Linked DNA regions of Saccharomyces cerevisiae S288C. The main gene of each other region encodes a partner of the protein of the gene in region 2 in a complex. Each region holds a gene or a part of one and is shown on either strand. Other genes may lie near its edges. A codon is read from its position in the direction of its gene.

Region 1 (4,701 bases), on a different chromosome or scaffold from region 2:
ATTCAGTAAAGAGTTTATTAGTGATTCAGAAGATGACGAGGATTTGATGAACCCTATATTTTTTGAAAACGAAACATATATGAGATGGTTACTAGATAAAAACAATGGTCAGTTGACCGAGGATAGATATATCCAGTTTGCCAAATTTGCCGCGGAAAGGATGAATAATGGGGGTGTTGTGACAGGAGATTATACGAGCTTGTTTGGTGGATCCATACCAAGTATTGAAAGCATAAGAGCTACAGAAAGTAGTTCCTTTGCGCCAGATAAAAGCCTCATTTCTTTAGCAAGCCACGTGGCATCTGAAATGTCTATTTTCGATGTAAATAATAACAATAATAATCAACTCTCTGATGACGATGTCAACTCGGAATCAAGAAATAGTTTGGGCTCATCACAGCCATCAAATTCGCAAAATATGTTCCAATCTGAGGTGTATAGCAGAAAAGAATCTACAAAGCGTTCTTTGGAAGCGAGTGCAGCCGATGAAAGCGATGAAGATGAAGAGGCCATCCGCCTTTTTGGCAAAAAGTCTAGAGTTGTTTTGAGCCAAGGTGATAGTGATGATTGAGAATGAATATGTAGTAATTAATCCCTTTAATACGTGTAATTTTAGAACCACTTCTTTACTCTGTTTTTAAGTTCAAAGTATTGACATAATATTAAAACAATACATGCGATTCATTCTTTATCATTACCTATATTTTTCTAAGTTGTTGAACATCTTAAGGAACTCAAATGTCCATTAGGACACATAAAATTAAATATTATATAATTTATTGCTGTTCCTGGGCATCATCGAAATTGTCATCATTGCTTGAAGACGCATGCAATCCGCTACTAGGACTATTTTCCCCTATTTGTTCTTGGGTTTTGTCGCCTATCGTCAAGTTTGTCTTTAAAGTTTTTTCATTATTATCCTTCTTAGAGTTCTCGTCTCCAGAAGATGCCCTCTTCGAGGATATATTTTGTTTTACATTAGACTCAGCGTTTTCAAATTCAGTCTGATCAATTGCGCTTTCTTCTCTAAATTGCTCTTCTAAATCATCCAAATCTTGGAGTAACTTCTTCTTTTGTATCTTGCGTTGAGGAGCCTTTTTCTTTATTATAGAACGACCTTTTTTATCTCCGCAATCGCTGTTTTCTTCATTATTATTTGCCGACTTAATGCTACTTTTGTCATCTTTCGTTACCGTGTCATCACCTTCACCGTTGTCTATACTCTCTGGTGAACTAGAATCTGCGCTACTTGTAGTAGAATCTGCTAGAGAAGATTCATCTTCTGATGAACTATCTGCGGTTGAATTATCTGTGGAAGACCCATCTGAAGAGGATTCATCACTTGAAGATTCACCCGTAATTTCATTTTCCATATCTCCACTTTCAAAGTCAAAAGCGTCGCTCTTTTGACTTTCTTCTGCGCTAGATGAAGAAAAAGGTCTTTTTGCGTCCTGCTTCCAAAGAGCTTTGTCCTGCAAGCGAACCGATATAGCATCGTTTTGATCCTCATCGCTGTCATCCTCAACTAACGGTCCAATTTTTGAAGAAATTGAATCATCCACTGCCCATATGCCAATATGAGTCCAATGAAGTATACAACGCAATTTACACAATTGCAGCCATGCTCTTTGAATATTAGTGGTAGGTTGTCCTGGCTTTGCATTTGTTTCAGAAGAAAAAATCTCCATCTTTGGCTTATTTTTTGTTGAAGAATTGATACCAAGTCCTGCCATAAAACTTAAACGTTTGGTTTTTTTGTCTTGAGAAGAAACCCTGCCGTCTCTTTTGGTATGCTTCGTTACTTCAGAGAATTTTTCCAAATCTTCCTTGGTAATGTTCTGCGTCGTTAGCTTTTCTAAATGCCATGCGCCTACCTTCAATGATCTCAGGAAAGCAAAGATTTCACATGTCTGCCGCAACTTTAGCAAACACCAATGACACAAGGGATACGTATTCGTAACTTGTTCTTTACCGTCGTCAGTCTTGTGCAACGTTTTCAATATATACATCCTTGCGTGTTCGATAATGTCATCTCTAGATTCTCCACAAAAGGAACATGCGGCGTGCACTGCAACTGGAGGTGAATCTAAGGGAAACTTGAACATTTTTGGCATATTCGAAGTGGCTTGCTTTGCAGGGCTACTTGAGTTGTAGCCAATTTGGTAGGTTGCATTAACGCCGCTTAGGGGTTCCACGACCACCAAACCATCTATAATCAAGGAAAGTAGGGTTTTTTTAACCAACCAGCCGATGCCTGAAGCATTATCAATCTTAAGTATAGGCTGGATTTCATCATTTACCAATCTTCGTATTAACTTTGATTCGGTTGAAGTTGCCTTTATGTTTTCACAACGGGGTAGTGCAGCGACAAATTTTAGAAATTCATTGTAAAGGCTTATATCATAACGAATAGATGAAATGCTTGGCGAGTACACAATTCCGCTATAAATATCTTGGGAAGCAAGAGAATATGAAGTTGGAACTTTATTCAAAGAAGTGCTAGAAGAAGTTGCTGAATCACTCAATATTGTGGAATATCTGTTCGAATTATTTGTGACTGTGCTTTCATTATCTAAACTATGCATCACTTTTTTCAGATTCTTGAGCTGTAGGGTCAAAGTATCCAGTAATGTGTCCTTTTCACGCAGTTGTTCAGTGAGTCTCTTATTTAAGATTTCGATAGCATATTTCTCCTTTCTAGCATCAGCAACCATATTATTAGCCTCATCAAAGAGGGAAGCAGTCAGATCCTCAACTTCTTTATTTAGTTTATCCGCTTCCTCTTCAGCTTTAGTTCGAAGCTCATTTTCTTTGGCTATATCTTCACGCAATCTTTTCACTTCGTCATCTCTGTCTGACAATTCTCTTTTTAAAGTGTTGTAATCTTCTTTCAACTGATTATAGTTTTCAATTGCTGCCTTCTGGCTGGCTATTGTTTTTAAGGATTTATTAAGCTGTTCTTCTAAGTGTGACTGTTTATCCACGCTCTCGATCAATTGCGTAGACAGGGATGTAACCTGTATTGATACTCTTTTTGCTTCCTCAGAAGCATCCATATTGAAACCTTTATCAAACACAGCTAGTAAAGGAAAATATATCCCAGTGAACTAAAGGTCAAAATTTTCTACAACTTTTGGATGGAAATCAACGTTGCTACAGCTGCAAGTGACAAATGATATTATTGCACGAATCACTGTGCTTGTCACTTAGGTAAACGAGAGCCATGTTTTAAAGGTGCTTCAGCGAACGCGAAATACAAGTTCCGGGTAGTCACATGGAAACAATGGCACATAATAAAAGGAATTATTTCAAAAATGCAATAGTAGAGATCATTTGAGTAAAGATGAATGTAAAGTGTATCATAAGTGATCTATAAACATTAAAATTATATATATATATGTGATTTAATGATTCGTGACTATTTCTTTGTACTAGTGCTTGTTTGGATGTTTGTTTTGGTATTACTGTTGTCATAATTTTTTGGTTTAATATTTTATTTGAAACTTAGCCTGTTACCTGTGCTAGCCTCACCTATGGATCTTTCCTTGCGGGCCCTCAATTTTTCTAGATGTTCATCGAGTATGGAATTTTGCTTTACTGGTGTGTCAGAGCCTCTTAGCTCCTTTAATAACATTCTAGCTCTGTCACTAATTTCCTCTTGATCTTCCAGCGCAGATGTCTTGGATGGCGATGGTAAATCTTCAGAGGTATTCATAACACCCCTTGTGGCAAGCGGAGTGGGTGATTCAGCGTGAATCACTGTATCGGCAGTAGGGTCCATAGCTTCTGGAGAATAAAGAATAGACCCTTCTTCAGTATCCAAATCGTTGAGTAATTGTGGAGCGTTGTCTTTTTCAGAAAGATATTTTTTCCTCACTAGGGCTCTCTTTCTGGCGGAAGATGGGTCACTTTTAGCAGGACCTGCATTTTTCAACTGTTCTAATAGTTTATCCATAACAGCGCGCCTATCTTCTGCTTCATCCTCTTCATTTCCTTCAGATGAAGGCGAATTGCTGTTCTCTTTTTGTTTTTCCTTTTCTTGTGCCCTTTTTTGCTGTTCTTCCACTATTTTCTTATGCTTTATATAAAGTCTTTCTTCTTCTTCCGCGGCTAGATTTTGCGCTTGAGCTTTTTTGTATTCATTTATAAAATCTGCAAATTTCTTAAAGAATGAGATTTTTGCAAACTTATCACCAGAATCTTCACCGTACGTATGCATCAGACTTTCAAATTCCATGATAGTCAGCTTAACTTCGTCTTCTAACAAGTCCCCCTTTTTTCTGGCTTCCGGTAACACGGGCAATGTTTTTATCAAAACTTTATCTAATGGATGAAACTTTGAGGAATCGCTTAAATTACCAATTTCAACTGAACGCTCTACGTTTACAATCGATTGGCTAAAGTCCTTACAGTCGTTAACTAACTGCTCAATGGAAACTTTCACGACATCCAATACAGGTTCTAATTCACTTAGAAAGTCATTGAAGCTTGGATAATTTAACCTGACAATTTTTTCGACGTAATTTAGAAAGGTCATGCTATTGGTAGTATCCTTGATAAACGTCAACCTCTGCAAGGTTGAAAGTTTGAAACCTTGTGCCTGCTTAGAAGTGTCGTTCATGAAATTACCAACTGCTAAGATAACATTAAAGACATTGCGCAAGTTATCTGATTCTTGAAGCGCGCTAACAGCTTTGTCGA
Region 2 (3,415 bases):
AATTCCTGAGAGATGTTACAATGAATTTAGTCCAAGATAATGAAACTAGGGGTGTTTTTAGTAGTGGTAACGTGTCATTTTTCTCTTTAGTAATCCTTTTGATATCATCTGGTTTCTGCGAACTGAATATGTCGGATCTCTTTGAGCTATGTGAATCCTACTATAACAAAGACGATAAGGCTTCGATGATCATGTCTGTCGAGATAGTGGCTGGCTTAGTTTGCGGGAGTAAGTTTATGTCAGTCTCTGACTTGGACAAACGTGACACTTTTATCGAAAACTTCCTAGCCAAATGTTTAGATTATGAGTTGAACCATGACGCATTTGAAATTTGGAGCACCTTGGCATGGTGGTTGCCTGCAGTCGTTGATTTAAGAAGGTCTAAAACTTTTTTTTGCCATTTTATCAACGCCGATGGCATGTTTGACCGTGAATCTGATGCAGCCACACATCAAACCTCCAAAATTTACATGCTAAGAAGTATCTTGATGAGCATGGAATTTAGAGCCCCAGATGTTGGTAAGCTATTTGATGAGTTGGTATTTGATCACCCATACGATCAGGTTCGCCAGGCTGTCGCTAAACTATTGACGACCTTAGTTCAAAATCAAAGTAATCCGTCAATTTCAGATCCAACCACATTATTAGAAGCAGAACGGAATGATCCAGATGGATTAGGGTTACCATTAAAAAGCGTCCCAGAAAAGGTGGATGCCTATATTAAGAAGCAGTTTGAGATCATTAAAAATCTGGAAGATTCCGTTGTCGGCCTGAATCCTCAACAATTTATTAAGACAGACTATTTTTACAGGACATCCACAATATTTTATTGGATCAAAGAAATGGCGAGAGGGCCTAATAAAGTTTTGTTAGTTCCATATTTAGTCGATTATGTTTTACCATTTCTGATCGGATTAGTGAAACATAAAGATGTTTGTGCTCTTGCCAGTTTAGATCCTGTTCGATTGTATGCCGGCTTGGGCTATATGCCGATCAGAAAGAACCATGTTGCCGCCATTGTTGACTATGTTTGTTCGTCAAATGTAGCACTATCTTCAAACCAAACGAAACTACAGCTAGCTTTCATCCAACACTTTTTATCAGCGGAACTGCTTCAACTTACTGAGGAAGAAAAGAACAAAATTTTGGAATTTGTTGTCAGCAATTTGTATAACGAACAGTTTGTAGAGGTGAGAGTTCGTGCGGCATCCATTTTGTCTGATATCGTCCATAACTGGAAAGAGGAACAGCCGTTGTTGAGTTTAATCGAGAGATTTGCAAAGGGTCTCGACGTCAACAAATACACGTCGAAAGAAAGACAAAAGTTATCCAAAACGGATATCAAGATTCATGGTAACGTTTTGGGTTTGGGAGCTATTATATCAGCGTTCCCCTATGTTTTTCCCCTACCGCCATGGATACCCAAGCAACTAAGCAACTTATCCTCGTGGGCCAGGACTAGTGGTATGACTGGACAAGCTGCCAAAAATACTATTAGTGAGTTCAAGAAGGTGAGGGCCGACACTTGGAAGTTCGATAGAGCATCTTTCAATACGGAGGAACTGGAAGACCTGGAGGGTGTCCTATGGAGAAGTTACTATGCCTGATTCATATTAGTATAGGATATTAAGCACATATCTAGACATATATGTACATCTAAACAAATAGCTGGAGCTATCTGCTGATTAGTTTTACTCTAAAAGTAAGTTGTTAGTGTAACTATGATCACGGCTGCGTGCCGGGTAATAAATCAATTTTGAGGAAAACTGGAAGTTCACCACTGAGAATGATCAACGGCAGGGAAACGTTATACCAAACAAAGCATTCTACCTCTAGGGAAGCTGGAAACTTGAATTACCCACTATAGCTTGTCTTTTAGTGATCCATTATTCCAACCTATTGCAATTCCAAGAAAATAAACTAGGAACTTTTTTTTTTGGAAGAATAAGAAAAGGAGAAAAAGTAGACATACTGTATATACACGAGGGCGTATCGTTCACCAGAAAGAATATAAACATAACAAGATAAACATGTCAGGCTTGAGAACTGTTTCTGCTTCATCCGGTAATGGAAAGAGCTATGACTCTATTATGAAAATTTTATTGATTGGTGATTCTGGTGTTGGGAAATCATGTTTATTGGTTCGTTTTGTTGAAGACAAATTTAACCCGTCATTTATCACCACCATTGGTATTGATTTCAAAATAAAGACTGTCGATATCAACGGTAAGAAGGTAAAGCTGCAACTTTGGGATACCGCTGGTCAAGAACGTTTCCGGACAATCACCACAGCGTATTATCGTGGTGCTATGGGTATCATTCTTGTATATGATGTGACAGACGAGAGAACATTTACTAATATCAAGCAATGGTTTAAAACCGTTAATGAGCATGCGAACGATGAAGCACAGCTACTGTTGGTTGGTAACAAGAGCGATATGGAGACGAGAGTGGTAACAGCTGATCAAGGTGAAGCCTTGGCTAAGGAGCTGGGTATACCATTCATCGAGTCCAGTGCTAAGAACGATGACAATGTCAACGAGATTTTTTTCACCTTGGCGAAGTTAATCCAAGAAAAAATCGACAGTAACAAGCTTGTTGGCGTCGGTAACGGTAAAGAGGGCAATATTAGCATCAATAGTGGGAGCGGAAACAGTTCTAAATCAAATTGCTGTTGAAGAAAAGAAGATTTTTGCTTCTTTGAGAATTAATCGTGAACTGGAATTAGAGCTATAAATCGCTTGATTCTTTTTTCCCTTTTTCTCAATATTCGCAGGTTATTTTTCCTTTATATATATACATTGTTTGTATCTTTTTTTGATTACCATACTTACTATTTTTATATTAGTCATATTAGATGTCACTTTTATATTATCTAAACAATTCAAACTTCTCACACTAACTTTTTCAGCATACTTCTACTGTTGTTCTCTGCTCTGGAAGGTATTTTCATCAGGCGATTGGTAAAAAATCAAGAAAGAATCTAAAAAATAGTGCAACAGGAAAACGAGGTTCCCAGTTTCCCTGGGAATTCTTATCCAAGTATATATTTTACTTTTAAGATTCAGCACTTTTATTTCGTTCTAATGTTTTTACCGGTAGTAAAGTTTTGCTTCTTGAATCCACTATTCAACTACTTGCGCTTATGTAAGGTTCCTGTATGGTTGCATAATCACTCAATTCGAAAAAAAAACCCACGTGCTGCTTGGAAATGAATCCGCACTGCGGTATAGCACTTCCAGAAAGATACTGACTGCGAAATTCGCTTTATGGAGTGTTTAAGCAATTGGTATCTTACCCATTAAGAGTCATTTCTTTCTTCTTGCCAACTTTTTTCCATCCTATTATGACCTCAAAAAAGGCAGGCTCTCTTCGTCTTATCTTTTCTATCGGAAGCGAATTACTGGGAAAGAGG

The links.
Region 1: the proteins of SEC4 (region 2) and SEC2 are in contact, whole or in part, in a crystal structure (PDB 2EQB), measured with the Saccharomyces cerevisiae proteins. Residues at the interface, in NP_116650.1 of Saccharomyces cerevisiae: Lys22 (codon at 2,094), Lys44 (codon at 2,160), Phe45 (codon at 2,163), Asn46 (codon at 2,166), Pro47 (codon at 2,169), Phe49 (codon at 2,175), Ile53 (codon at 2,187), Ile55 (codon at 2,193), Asp56 (codon at 2,196), Phe57 (codon at 2,199), Trp74 (codon at 2,250), Thr84 (codon at 2,280), Ile85 (codon at 2,283), Ala88 (codon at 2,292), Tyr89 (codon at 2,295), Arg91 (codon at 2,301), Gly92 (codon at 2,304); in NP_014127.1 of Saccharomyces cerevisiae: Asp95 (codon at 2,774), Asn98 (codon at 2,765), Lys99 (codon at 2,762), Val101 (codon at 2,756), Glu102 (codon at 2,753), Asp103 (codon at 2,750), Thr105 (codon at 2,744), Ala106 (codon at 2,741), Phe109 (codon at 2,732), Asp110 (codon at 2,729), Ala112 (codon at 2,723), Asn113 (codon at 2,720), Val116 (codon at 2,711), Ala117 (codon at 2,708), Arg120 (codon at 2,699), Lys121 (codon at 2,696), Tyr124 (codon at 2,687).

The regions. Positions count from the first base shown.
Region 1 is NC_001146.8:126,029-130,729, forward strand, and holds SEC2 (guanine nucleotide exchange factor SEC2), read right to left. Parts: upstream 3,057-4,701; coding exon 777-3,056; downstream 1-776. Other genes in the region: TOF1 (Tof1p), read left to right, coding at 1-571; formin BNI1, read right to left, coding at 3,494-4,701. UniProt on the Saccharomyces cerevisiae protein: Guanine nucleotide exchange factor for SEC4, catalyzing the dissociation of GDP from SEC4 and also potently promoting binding of GTP. Activation of SEC4 by SEC2 is needed for the directed transport of vesicles to sites of exocytosis.
Region 2 is NC_001138.5:128,304-131,718, forward strand, and holds SEC4 (Rab family GTPase SEC4), read left to right. Parts: upstream 1-2,030; coding exon 2,031-2,678; downstream 2,679-3,415. Other genes in the region: proteasome activator BLM10, read left to right, coding at 1-1,607. UniProt on the Saccharomyces cerevisiae protein: Involved in exocytosis. Maybe by regulating the binding and fusion of secretory vesicles with the cell surface. The GTP-bound form of SEC4 may interact with an effector, thereby stimulating its activity and leading to exocytotic fusion.